Linked DNA regions of Saccharomyces cerevisiae S288C. The main gene of each other region encodes a partner of the protein of the gene in region 2 in a complex. Each region holds a gene or a part of one and is shown on either strand. Other genes may lie near its edges.

Region 1 (5,656 bases), on a different chromosome or scaffold from region 2:
ATGTAATAGAGTTCTACCCCTAACGTCACACATGGAAAGATTGACGGTAGAGAGATTATTATTTCTCTTAAATGACTTAATAACTTCAGTGATCAATTGTTCATCGTTTATATTTCGCATCATATTCGTGTACGAATTTAAAGAGCTATTCTGTGAGTGTAATCCTGCGTTATTATTAGATGGAGATGAATCACTGCCAACAATCCTTTTAGCAATATTTCTTGCATCTTCCAGTTTACCGTTCATTTTCAGCCCCACAATTTGCAGAGCCAATTCAATTAGTTGCCTATCAGTATCATCAACATAAGTAAAGATTGCTTTCTCACCGGTATACTTGTTTAAGTGCAGAATGTCATTGGTACTATTGCTGGTGGAAACACTACTATTGCTATTATTTCTCATAGACGTTTCACTTGGGTCGACTATGGTTACCAAAACCGGTCCAGGTTTAGATGAAGGCGGTAAATAAGTCACCATCGTAGATTCATTCCAGCATTGGCTGGACAATGCTATATTTTCGCCAAACTTGATGATTAAGCCCTGCTTAAACTTTGAGCCAAGTAGAGTCACTTCTATACCTCCGTTGATGGAACCTTGTGCGGGGATGACACGCTGAATAGAAGGCTTGTTATTTAGCGCCACGGGGACACTATTATGGTTCGATATATCTTTGGAAGAATCGATGAATTTCTGGGGAAGACGGGAAAACGTATTAGGCGTAGACATAAAAGGCTCGTTTACCGAACGCTGCCTCTTGCCAGTGTGTCTCGCAGAGGCCGCACTGAAATCACTAGTTAATGTAGTAAGAGCGGGATTAGATGAACTATTAAAACCTGTGGACGACCAAGAGTCTAGTGAACGATGTAAATTGTTGTCGTTGTTATTAGAAAAATGAATATCTGAAAAAGAATGGTTGCTGTCCTCACTGGAGGAATTTGGTGATGGAAAGTGTCTGTTGTTGTTCATCATTGCGGTATTAGTCTTAATGTTGTTTTTGTTATCATTATCATTGTTGTTGTTATTACAATTGCTATCAAGCATACAGTTCGTAGAAATGACAAAATTTTTACTGTTAGAAGGCAGGGGGAATTCGGATGGGAAGTTTAAGTCACTTTGCGGCGATGAAAAGGATCTAGTGTCATTTGTCATTGGCGAAACCTGGGCATTGCTGGTGCTGGTTGGAGTTGTGGTATTGCTGGCATTTTTCTTGTCCATGATCATTATGGGATCTGTTATAGTTTTCGCCAAGATATCGCCGTTATGGTCCCTTAGAAGGAACAAAACTACAAACCCGTTAGTTGCCTTGTGGTGTCTGCAGTAACAGACGATTCTCGTCGGTAAGTCGAAATTGATACAGTTAGAGTTACCACTCAAACCGTTATTACTAATGATGAAAAGTTGTTTACTATTGAATATGATTGCTCTTTTGTTTTCGTTATTTTGCCAGATGGAGTTGTCGTTCAACCCAGACTTTCTTCTCGACGCTCTTCTTTTTTCCCTGTTGATACATCTATTACAAACATAGGTCTGCTTGAAGTTGTTGCTATTGTTGTTAGATGCACACAAAAGAAAGGCGTCCAAGAAAAGAGTCCTTTCGTTGATGTCCCTATTGGGTATTGTCAAGTTGGTGGGATCGTCCGAGCTGGTGAAAAACTTGTCCTTCGCTATACAATCAGAGGGCAGATGAATAAAGAAGTTTTTTCTTGCATGTGCGTTTCTAATCCGAAAACTCAGCTTCATCTGAGTTTCCACCCTAGAAACCTTCGGCAACCCAATAATTTCTAGAGACAATGGAAGGGACTGCGGGTTAATGTTGATAAAATCCAGTGGATTCGCGTATGGCGTCCTCAGAGGTAGCTTTCTGCCAAATTGAACGTGTCGATCAAGCAATCCTTGCAAAGATGCGATGTCATCCCTGAGCTCCCCTTCATCTTCCTTACCTGGTGTAGTAGTACCTGCTGTTATCATTTTCTCTTGGTTCAGACTCAATAAACCAGGGTCTTGCAGAGAGGACCCAGAGTTGAGCAGAGCAATATCCAGTAATTCTGATTCTAGTAAATCCAAGTCCGGAGAGCCATCGTTGTGCTGTATGTTGGCGCTATAGCTGTGGAGCATCGAGGAAACGTTTCCTGTGCCACTCATCATTTTCAGTGGTGTACTACTGTTGTGATTAGTCGTTTAGAGGATATCTAGAGTATAATTATTTTGAATGAGTTTCGTTGACATTTTCAGTTCATGCGATCATCTTACTTTCATGGTTGCTCCTTGCCGTTAAAATTGAAACGAAAAAAGCGGGAATACAACAATGTCACCTTACACGAGCAGAGAAAAGGGCAGCAATAGCGACAATAACCGATAATGCCAGGCCTTCCAGAGCCCTATGCTGACCTATATTCATCATGACGCTATCCATATGCAACTAGAGACCTGCTGGGAAGCGCTCTCTCATTTTTGAAGGTTGCAGCAGTGCTCGCGCCGGTTTTCGATTGGGCCTCGTGATAAAACACATCAGCAAAGTTTCGCTTTTGACATTCTGTTAAATTGGTCCTTAACTGTTGGTGCAGACCTACTGCAAGACTGTTAATTATGGTATATTATATATCAAGTGCTGATACAACGTACACCATCGAAAATGGAGGAGTACGATTATTCAGACGTTAAACCTTTGCCCATTGAGACAGACTTGCAGGATGAACTGTGCAGGATTATGTATACCGAGGATTATAAGCGGTTGATGGGACTCGCAAGGGCTCTGATCAGCCTTAACGAACTGTCACCCAGGGCACTACAGCTAACAGCCGAAATTATCGACGTGGCGCCAGCCTTCTACACCATATGGAACTACCGATTCAATATCGTCAGGCACATGATGAGTGAATCCGAAGACACTGTCTTGTACCTGAACAAGGAATTAGACTGGCTAGATGAAGTTACGCTGAATAATCCAAAGAACTATCAGATCTGGTCCTATAGACAGTCTCTTTTGAAGCTACATCCGTCTCCTTCCTTCAAAAGAGAGCTGCCTATCTTAAAACTGATGATTGATGATGATTCCAAGAATTATCACGTTTGGTCGTACAGAAAGTGGTGCTGTTTGTTCTTCAGTGACTTTCAACATGAGCTCGCCTACGCCAGCGACCTCATCGAGACAGACATTTATAACAACAGCGCATGGACTCATAGGATGTTTTACTGGGTGAACGCTAAAGATGTCATTTCAAAAGTGGAATTGGCCGACGAGCTCCAGTTCATTATGGACAAGATTCAATTGGTTCCGCAGAACATCAGTCCGTGGACCTACCTCCGTGGTTTCCAAGAGCTATTCCATGATAGGCTACAGTGGGATAGCAAAGTAGTCGACTTCGCCACAACCTTCATCGGTGACGTATTGTCACTTCCAATTGGCTCACCAGAGGATTTGCCCGAGATCGAGTCCTCATATGCCCTGGAATTCCTGGCATATCACTGGGGGGCAGACCCTTGTACCCGAGACAACGCTGTTAAGGCCTATAGCTTGCTAGCAATCAAATACGATCCTATTAGAAAAAACTTGTGGCACCACAAAATAAATAATCTGAACTGAATATATGTAAGCACTCTATTTGTACGAATATATTTACGTGTGTACGTGCATGCACGCAAGTTTAATCTAGTTCTACAAACCTACTGCTGTATTGAGATTGATCTCTTCCCCTTCGTTTTGGACCGCTATCATTGATGCGTCCAAACCCGTCCTCGTTCAACTGCTTTCTGAAAAATTTAGAACGTTTAACCATCTTCAGCGTCCTTGTGTAGCACATCTCTCCCCATGACAGATATCTATGTATCCAGCCGCCCAACTGATACTGGTTGTAAAAGAATATCATTCCCGTCTCCCTTCTTATTGCCGATAGGAGCATAGCTACCAACGTCCCCTCTACTACCCACCTTATCATTCCCAACATCTTGCAATATGTTACGATCTGATCTTCACTCTCTTTTGCTCCTTCTTTTTGCTGTTTAACTGTTACCTACACTCATTTATTCGATACCTTTTTTTACCCATTTTTTCTTCATGCAGTTTAGCACTAGTACATTAAAAAAGAAAGAAAAAAAATGAAAGCAAGACTAAAATATCGAGCAAAGCACAAGCAAATACACCGTTTGTCCTTTTAGCATAGCCAACAATGACCACCGTGTCCATCAATAAGCCCAACCTGCTGAAATTCAAGCATGTTAAAAGCTTTCAACCTCAAGAAAAAGACTGCGGACCCGTAACCTCATTGAATTTCGACGATAATGGCCAGTTTCTACTGACCTCTTCTTCCAACGATACAATGCAATTGTACAGTGCCACGAACTGCAAATTCTTGGACACTATAGCCTCTAAGAAATATGGCTGTCACTCCGCTATCTTTACGCACGCACAAAACGAATGTATCTATTCCTCTACAATGAAAAATTTTGACATTAAATACCTTAATCTGGAAACAAACCAATATCTAAGATATTTTTCCGGTCATGGCGCCCTAGTGAATGATTTGAAGATGAACCCCGTGAACGATACGTTTCTATCGTCGTCATACGATGAATCCGTTAGGCTTTGGGATTTGAAGATCTCTAAACCGCAAGTTATTATACCAAGTCTCGTACCAAATTGTATCGCATATGATCCAAGTGGCCTTGTATTCGCATTGGGGAACCCAGAGAATTTCGAAATAGGGCTATATAATCTGAAAAAAATTCAGGAGGGTCCTTTCTTGATAATTAAAATTAATGATGCGACTTTCAGTCAATGGAATAAATTAGAATTTTCTAACAATGGAAAGTATTTATTAGTTGGCTCCTCGATAGGAAAGCATTTAATTTTTGACGCATTCACAGGTCAACAATTATTCGAACTAATAGGAACAAGGGCCTTCCCGATGAGAGAATTTCTAGATTCTGGATCTGCTTGTTTCACACCAGATGGTGAATTCGTCCTTGGAACCGATTATGACGGTAGGATTGCCATTTGGAATCATTCTGATTCAATAAGTAACAAAGTATTAAGGCCGCAAGGGTTCATTCCCTGTGTTTCTCATGAGACCTGCCCCAGGTCAATTGCATTCAACCCTAAATATTCGATGTTTGTTACCGCAGACGAAACAGTAGATTTTTACGTGTACGATGAATGACTGCTGCTACTGCATTGATATACTAGAGGATATAATATATAACGAACATTTTTTACCTACTGTATAACGACGTATACTCTATACATCTTGTGTATTCTTTACAAATAATCGTCAATGTTGGGGTACCTTACGTCAGCGTTCTCTTCACACCATTCTGACCAACTTTTTAGGTACTTGTTACCGCACCTTTGCAGAACTTCTATATTGCCAACAACAACTAGTTGCCTTCTGGGTCTTGTCATGGCGACGTTCAGTCTTCGTTCTTCCTTAAGGAAACCAACTTCAAATTTTTCATTGCTACGAACTAAACTCAATATGATAACATCTTTTTCACGGCCCTGGAACCCATCTACAGTTGATATTTCAATATCAGTTAATTTTAATTCATCATGGATCAATTTTTTCAGATGAGAAACTTGTGCATTGTATGGAGAAATAACACCTATAGAGTTCTCCGGGACGTTGAATGACCTTAAATTCTCAATGTGTTCTTTTACAAT
Region 2 (8,037 bases):
TAGAGACGCCTTTGAAAGCAAGACAAAGGGAAATGGCGGAGGAACAGACGAAACTACAATCTCAATCCTTACACACAAAGAATGTATTTGGCACACTGCAGAGGCATAGCGGTATCAGTAGCACATTAGTGAGCGCTAACAATGACAATAACTCGCCGCATACCCCTGTAACTAGGAAGGGCTACATTCCAAGTAGCAAATATGCATATATGATGAACTCACAGTCCCCAAGGGGGAAAATATAAAAACAGCAAAAAAACATTTAATACTTTCCATAGCTATATATGTTTTCTCTCCTATTTATATTTTACATATGATTAGCGGCAACCATTACCAATAGTTTGGAAATAAGTATCTTAGTCTTTCTAAGGTTTCCTTGGACATAGCCTCTGGTTTGGTAGAGATAGATTTCTTGATGGAACCGCGCAGCCCATCGCCAGTATGCATGAACTCTGGGATTTCCTTGGCCATTGAGACGATGATCTTAGAAGCTAAAATATTTGCATTGCGCCCATTATTCGTCAAATTACCAATAACGGTTTCTACGGTAACAGGTTCTGCCTCATCTCTCCATGCGTCGTAATCGGTAGACATACAAATCATCTGGTAAGGCAGCTCACACTCACGCGCCAATTTGGCTTCTGGAATAACACTCATGTTAATAACATGGCCACCAAACATTCTGTACATCTTGGATTCAGCGCGCGTGGAGAATTGTGGGCCTTCCATACACACAACGGTCATATCCTTGTCGTAATGCAAATGGCACGGTTCTTCGGATTCAGGATTTGTTATCTCGTTCTTGAATTGATAGATATACTCTGCGAATTTTTGAGAGAACGGCTGTCCGAAACCAACGTGACCTACCAAGCCTTCATCGTTGAAATATGAAGAATGTCTTATGCCTTTAGTTCTGTCGATTATTTGCTGTGGTAACACAAAATCTCTAGGCTTTATATGGGGTTGTAAAGACCCCACGGCACTAAAAGAAAGAACGGCTTTACAATTTAAGTTCTTTAAGGCCGCCATGTTTGCTCTAAATGGGACTTTAGTGGGTGGGTATTCGTGGTTAATACCGTGTCTGGCTATGAACGCAACGTGAAAGTGGCTGTTAGTTCCTACGAACTGAGAGATTGTGACAGGAGACGATGTGGTACCCCATGGTGTTACCATGGGTGGAAGCAAAGCGATGGGCTCCAGACAGTCAAGGTTATATAAACCTGTACCACCAATAATCCCTAAATCAACAGTTCCTTCGAATATGCTCGGTAATTCTGAGTTCGTCATAACTTTGCTTAGTTTTAATCTCTTAGCAACAGAAAATGTATTCTTAATCCTGTTCATTTAATCTCATCTCATCTCGAAATAGTTTTTTTTCATTCACACGTTCATCTTTTTTCATTTTTCTTTTTCTTTTTTTTGCTTTCTTTTCACATAATTGACAATAAAGGCGTCCTACAATAGAAGCCTTGGTATAACGTAAAAGCCACAGCAAGCATGGTGTACTTCATTTCCGACTCCATTTGCGTATAGACATGTTTCACAGACGCAAAAGACCTTATAACACCAGAAATTATGGCCATGATGACAAGAAATTCAAATCGCAGTACATCGATATTATGCCAGACTTCAGCCCTTCCGGTCTGTTAGAGCTGGAGTCGAATAACAAAGAAGGTATAGCTTTAAAACATGTGGAGCCGCAGGACGCTATTTCTCCAGATAACTACATGGATATGCTAGGACTGGAGGCGCGAGATAGGACTATGTATGAACTAGTGATATACAGAAAGAATGACAAGGATAAAGGACCGTGGAAAAGATACGATTTGAACGGCAGGAGCTGTTATTTAGTCGGTCGTGAACTGGGCCACAGTCTGGATACAGATCTCGACGATAGAACGGAGATCGTTGTCGCAGACATTGGTATACCCGAAGAAACATCCTCAAAGCAGCACTGCGTCATCCAGTTCAGGAACGTTCGTGGCATTTTGAAATGTTATGTAATGGATTTGGATTCGTCCAATGGGACATGTTTGAACAACGTTGTAATTCCTGGAGCGAGATATATAGAGCTACGAAGTGGTGACGTCCTTACACTTTCAGAATTTGAAGAAGATAACGATTACGAACTCATCTTCATGAATGTATAACCATATATAAGAAACACACTTTCAGTGTGTTTTAATTATTCTTCTTTGAATGCTGCTTTATTGCTGTAGGGCAATTTGCTCCAACTCATCGATTATATCCCATACTATGTCTTCAGCTATCTGTTCTTTGTACAATGTATCCAGTGTGTTAACTTTTGAATTCCCGTCAACACAGTAAGCTGATCGGATTTGATCGAGGTACTCCAATTTATCTTCTTCACTAATTATCCTCGCTGTTCCACCGTTAAAACAGCTGATTGTTGGATAGTAACCCAGTTTGTTATTATTTACGTATTTGTTTCTGAGTATCAATCCCTTCTTTTTCTTTTGTTGCTGCTTTTTCTTTTTGGCACTGGTTGTGTTTTTATCATTGGACTCATCACGAGCTTCACCATGTTGCCAATATCCAAGATAGAACTTTTCATTGTATTGTAACTCACTGAACGGTGGTAACAACGGCTTTAAATTTTCAAATGCTTTGCCTAGGTACTTACCATTTTGAAAGATAGCAAGATATGAATCCTCTAACTGGTAATAGTCTTGCCTTTCCCTCTTATCAGAAGAATAATATTCCGGTTTCGTTGTCTTTACATAGTCCGTTGCCTCAAAGAACAACTGGTTCTTATACCTGATGGCGATTTGATCGCGGACGACGTCGTTATATTCAATATCTTCTAATAGCGCCCTTTGAAATTCTTTGTTCGTTGTCTCTTGTTTTAATTTTTTCCTTGAAGGCCCATTCTCAGCATCTTCTCTCCATGGTTCATTCATCGTATCCATATGGGAGTTCAGTGCAAAAATTCTTCTTTTGGTAAACTCCTTAGCTTGTTTGATTTGTGTATGAATGCTAGGAAGACTCAGTAGAAATCCGATTTTATCACCCTCTTTCAATGGCGAACCATTTTCTAGGACGCAATTCAATTTTCCTTCGTGGATAGATTCTAACGAAATGTCTCTAATACCATACCCGTACACATCAAACCCTACGGGAGCCTCTAAACTGGCCTCTCTTCTGCAAACTCCAAATCGTAGATGCGGGGTGTCATTCACTTGTTTGTGCATTTTTTCGTATATGCCACTTTGTACTTCGTCTACTGAATCATCAGCATTTTCCTTATTATTAACACCGTCTGCGAATTTCTTGTTTCCTCCACGAATTACCTCCACTTCCCAATACGTCATTCCTTCTTTAATACACACATCGCTTCTTGCAGTTCTCCAACCGTATTGATCCGGGACACTTACCAGATCATTTCCATCTCGACTAATTGACAACCCTTCAGATCTGTCCATGACGCTCATTCCAGAGTGGTCAAATGGGTATTCTGTACAGCCATACCCCAAAATAGTGAAAAAGGGATTTGCGGAACACGGTCTGTACACAAAATGTCTTCGATTCAATGGAATATCTTCTGTGCGGACAAACTCATAACTTGTACCCTGAACCGATGACTTGATTTGGTGCGTTGCTTCCATCTGTGGTAAATTAGGTCTCTTCCCTTCTTGCTGACCCTGGAGAGCATTCTTGTAAACAATATCAGTACCTTCCTGGTAAGGTATAATACCCAACTTCATTATTAAGGAAGTGAATTATTTGTCTTCGTCCAATTATGGCCACCTTTATCGCTGATATCCTTTGTCTACATCCTTTTTAAACTATAATCACAGATTCTCTATTTTTTTCTTTTACCGCGATGAGCTTCATAAAATACTCACAATACCAAATGTGAAAAATTTTAGTAACGTAAAGTGGTTTGCTTTATTCGCACAGGAGTAACCCTTTAGAGTACATAAAACATACGAAGATGATGATTAAATCATGAAGCAGAAAAAATTTAACTCCAAAAAAAGTAATAGAACAGATTTATCAAAAAGAGGAGATTCTCCTAATATAGGAATTTCCAAATCTAGAACTGCATGTAAACGATGTCGATTGAAAAAAATTAAATGTGATCAGGAGTTTCCTAGCTGTAAGAGGTGTGCAAAATTAGAGGTACCATGTGTTTCTTTGGACCCAGCCACCGGAAAGGACGTTCCAAGATCTTACGTCTTTTTTCTGGAAGATAGATTGGCTGTCATGATGCGTGTGTTGAAAGAATATGGAGTAGATCCCACGAAAATACGAGGAAATATACCTGCTACAAGTGATGATGAACCTTTTGATTTGAAAAAGTACAGTTCAGTTTCATCTTTGGGAGAAGAGGGAATATTGCCACATAATGGCTTATTGGCGGATTATTTGGTTCAGAAAGGGAATTCTATGGCATCCTCAGCTATAACGAGCAAGTCTATGGCAAGCCCACAGACTATAAATGTACAACGCAAGGAATTTCTGGTAAACTCAAAAAAACAAGATGGTAGCGCTTTATTACCCGAGACAGGCAGCCCTATGACTTCAGATGCAAGAGCGGAAGAGCTACGCCGATGTAATAAGGAGATCAGTGCGCTGGGCACGATGAGAGAAAGTAGTTTTAACTCTTTTTTAGGAGATTCATCGGGTATTTCCTTTGCGAAATTAGTCTTCACGGCAACTAATTTTCGTCAAGATTCCGGAGATGACGTTCTGGATGAAGATATTAAACAAAGGGAACAGAAATACAATGGATATGCAGAGGCTGAAAACAATCCACACTTTGATCCATTGGAACTACCACCTCGACATGCCGCTGAAGTTATGATATCCAGGTTTTTTGTAGATACTAATTCCCAGTTACCTTTGCTGCATAGAGAACTTTTCCTGAAAAAATACTTTGAACCTATTTATGGTCCCTGGAATCCCAATATTGCATTGGCATCTGATCAGACAGGCATAAATAGCGCGTTCGAAATTCCAATTACCAGTGCTTTTAGTGCGCATACTGAACCAAAAAGGGAGAACGTTACTGAGAAGATTGACGTATGCTCTTCCGTGGATGTTCCATGGTATGACACTTGGGAGACATCTCAAAAAGTCAACATGCGTCCGATAGTTGAACTACCGACAAAATTTCACATACCTTATTTTTTTTTAAACATTATATTTGCTATTGGCCATGCTACGCAGGTACTTAAGTCAGATATTACTACTGTCGCGACATATAAGAGACGCGCTACTAAATATATTGCATCTTTATTTTCATCTTCAGACAGGTTGGAGGCATTGGCAGGCACTTTGCTCATGGTAATCTATTCAATAATGAGACCTAATGTCCCCGGTGTTTGGTATACTATGGGTTCTGTACTAAGACTAACGGTTGACCTAGGACTACATTCGGAAAAAATTAATAAAAATTATGACGCCTTTACCAGAGAAATACGCAGGCGTCTATTTTGGTGCGTTTACTCCTTAGATCGGCAAATTTGCTCGTATTTTGGTCGACCTTTTGGTATACCTGAAGAAAGCATCACCACCAGGTATCCTAGCCTTTTGGACGATTCCTTCATCACATTAACTAACCGAGAAATTGACGACTACTCAGACTTACCAAGCCCAAATCCGTCTTCAAAAGTTATCGCATTGGCCATGTATAAAATCAGAAGAATCCAAGCTAGTATAGTGAGAATACTCTACGCGCCCGGTGCAGAATTGCCGAGGAGGTTTATGGATCTCGAGAGCTGGCGGATTGAAACCTACAATGAGCTTGAGCGTTGGTTCCAAGTGGACGTTCCCAAAAACTTTGAGATGATGAATTGCAAATTTAACAGCATCTGGTTTGATCTGAACTATCATTACTCGAAGAGCATTCTTTATGGACTTTCTCCAAAATTCCCTACTTTGAATGATACCGCTTTTAAAATTGTCCTGGACAGTACGAAGGGCACCATAGACGTATTTTACAATCTTTGTGTCAATAAAAAAATTGGTTACACGTGGGTAGCAGTTCATAACATGTTCATGACAGGTATGACTTACCTTTACGTAAATTTTTACTCAAAAAACAACATAAATGATTGTCAAGAAAAAGTGTCAGAGTACACTGAAAAAGTGTTGATAGTACTGAAGAATCTGATAGGTTTTTGCGAATCTGCGAAAACCTGTTACACGAGTTACAAAATTTTATCATCAGTTGTAATAAAGTTAAAATTTATGCAAATAAATGATGCCAAAGGGATATTTTCGGATTCAAATCCCCTAACCTCTCAGGCAAACCGCATGTCAAGTTATGATAAAAAAACGAACGTACTTGGTTTTGACGACGGTACTTTTGATAACAAGGTTTTTAATAGAACCAATTTTGAAGAAAAAGCACCTTTTGATATACCTCTAGATGAATTTTTTACCGAACTGGAAAAACACAGCAATGTTTCCCAGTTTAATACTTTAGATGTAAGCGAAGGTAATCAAGTGATAAATGAAAGTGCTTCTACAAATACGTCTTCTGCATTGAATTGCCAGTCGTATACCAATAATCAAGATATCATGGATATCCTTTTCCAGGTTACTTCGGGATCTGTATGGGATGAGTTTTTTGTCAGGTCTGGTAACGGAAACGAAGGCGAGTCTTCTTACGATATCAGTAAAGGAAAGAACTCTGAATCCGGTGGAATATTTTAGCGATAGCTCGAAGAATCATGATCAATGGATTGAAAGTAGGGCCACCAATGCTCTTTTCAATCTATTTTTTGAAAACATGAGAGTCCTAAAAGAGCTAACTTAAATGACCGGGGCAGATTAATTGAAAAGTTTGAGGTTTTTGTGATAATCTTCAAAGTTGAACGCATGTATAAAATGATAGAAGCAACAGTCCATTGAGAAGTATGCCACTATAGTCATATATATATATATATATATATATATATATATTTACGTATTAATTGATAAACTATAATACCAACGGCACTTGATACTTGAATTCATCTTACATTTCCAGTGATGATTTTTTTTTCTGGGACTACGCTGATAAAGAAAAATTGCAAGAACTGAGAAACCACTTGTTTTGTATGGCACTTTGACTTTCGAATAACACATAATGTTCGTTATCAACTGTTTAAAGTCGATAAATGTATAATCACTGCTTTGACATAAGTATATAACATTCCGAGCAGAAATAAATTCTCTTAACGCGTTCTTGTAACTCCATAGAGGCTCTTTGGAACTTTTCGTTTGACGCTCACACCTTTTATTTCGTTAAAGTACCGTTTTGCCAGATCCTTGCCAAAAACCAAAAATATTTTTCTATAAAATAATCCACAGGCATTACACAATGTCACCTCTCCATCAGGACCCTCTCTCCATTGCGGAGAAGTTTTTATCACCGCACACTGTGGACATCTCCTGGTGACGCCTTTCCTCTTTTGGACATTGTGCTGAACAACAGCAGTATTATTCGTTGTGACATACAAAGATGCACTAATGGGTTTAGCAGTATTGATTTTTGTTTGAGAGTGAGGTTTTTCGCAGTCTATTGTCTCCTCTACCGGATTCAATAACGATTCAACGGAGATTCTTTTATATTCTGGATGACACAAAGTCTTAATGTTCATAGCAAATTCTTCCTTCTGGCTTTATATTTGCTTCTAGTTGATAATTGTTTACATTTAATGAAATTGTTTCAAATCAAGAAAAGGTAAGATAAGCTCCCTCAAAGAACCTCTCGTCTTATAATATACTCTTCAAACAGAGCAACAAATATTAATTAACATGCTCGACCATTTGTTCTTTTCCATCAAATTGGACCCTAGACCCTTAAAAACATAGATATGACTGAAGAGGAGGTTTTTGACCTCTAGCCTATTATTCCATTTTACAGAGAAGCCTACTTATTTTCTGTGGCAGGCGGCTAAGCAGGTAATGTTGTCCGCATTTTATCAGAAATACTTGCCAAGAAAAAAAAGGGATTTTCATATAAGGGGATTTTCTACAGGTGTTTGTGTGAGTATGTATTGCACCAAATAAGTACTGTGTTAA

What was found. Proteins that work in one complex are often made in the same cells at the same time.
Region 1: BRE2 (region 2) and SWD2 share a complex: the UniProt entries of both Saccharomyces cerevisiae proteins name them as parts of the set1C/COMPASS complex.

The regions. Positions count from the first base shown.
Region 1 is NC_001143.9:399,936-405,591, forward strand, and holds SWD2 (WD-repeat containing protein SWD2), read left to right. Parts: upstream 1-4,166; coding exon 4,167-5,156; downstream 5,157-5,656. Other genes in the region: SPT23 (Spt23p), read right to left, coding at 1-2,145; RAM2 (bifunctional protein farnesyltransferase/protein geranylgeranyltransferase), read left to right, coding at 2,633-3,583; MCO12 (Mco12p), read right to left, coding at 3,645-3,944; ATP-dependent 5'-3' DNA helicase HCS1, read right to left, coding at 5,255-5,656. UniProt on the Saccharomyces cerevisiae protein: The COMPASS (Set1C) complex specifically mono-, di- and trimethylates histone H3 to form H3K4me1/2/3, which subsequently plays a role in telomere length maintenance and transcription elongation regulation. Involved in mediating RNA polymerase II termination.
Region 2 is NC_001144.5:170,915-178,951, reverse strand, and holds BRE2 (Bre2p), read right to left. Parts: upstream 3,726-8,037; coding exon 2,208-3,725; downstream 1-2,207. Other genes in the region: POM34 (Pom34p), read left to right, coding at 1-245; MEU1 (S-methyl-5-thioadenosine phosphorylase), read right to left, coding at 331-1,344; PML1 (Pml1p), read left to right, coding at 1,536-2,150; PPR1 (Ppr1p), read left to right, coding at 3,970-6,684; GAT3 (Gat3p), read right to left, coding at 7,188-7,613. UniProt on the Saccharomyces cerevisiae protein: Component of the Set1C/COMPASS complex that specifically mono-, di- and trimethylates histone H3 to form H3K4me1/2/3, which subsequently plays a role in telomere length maintenance and transcription elongation regulation.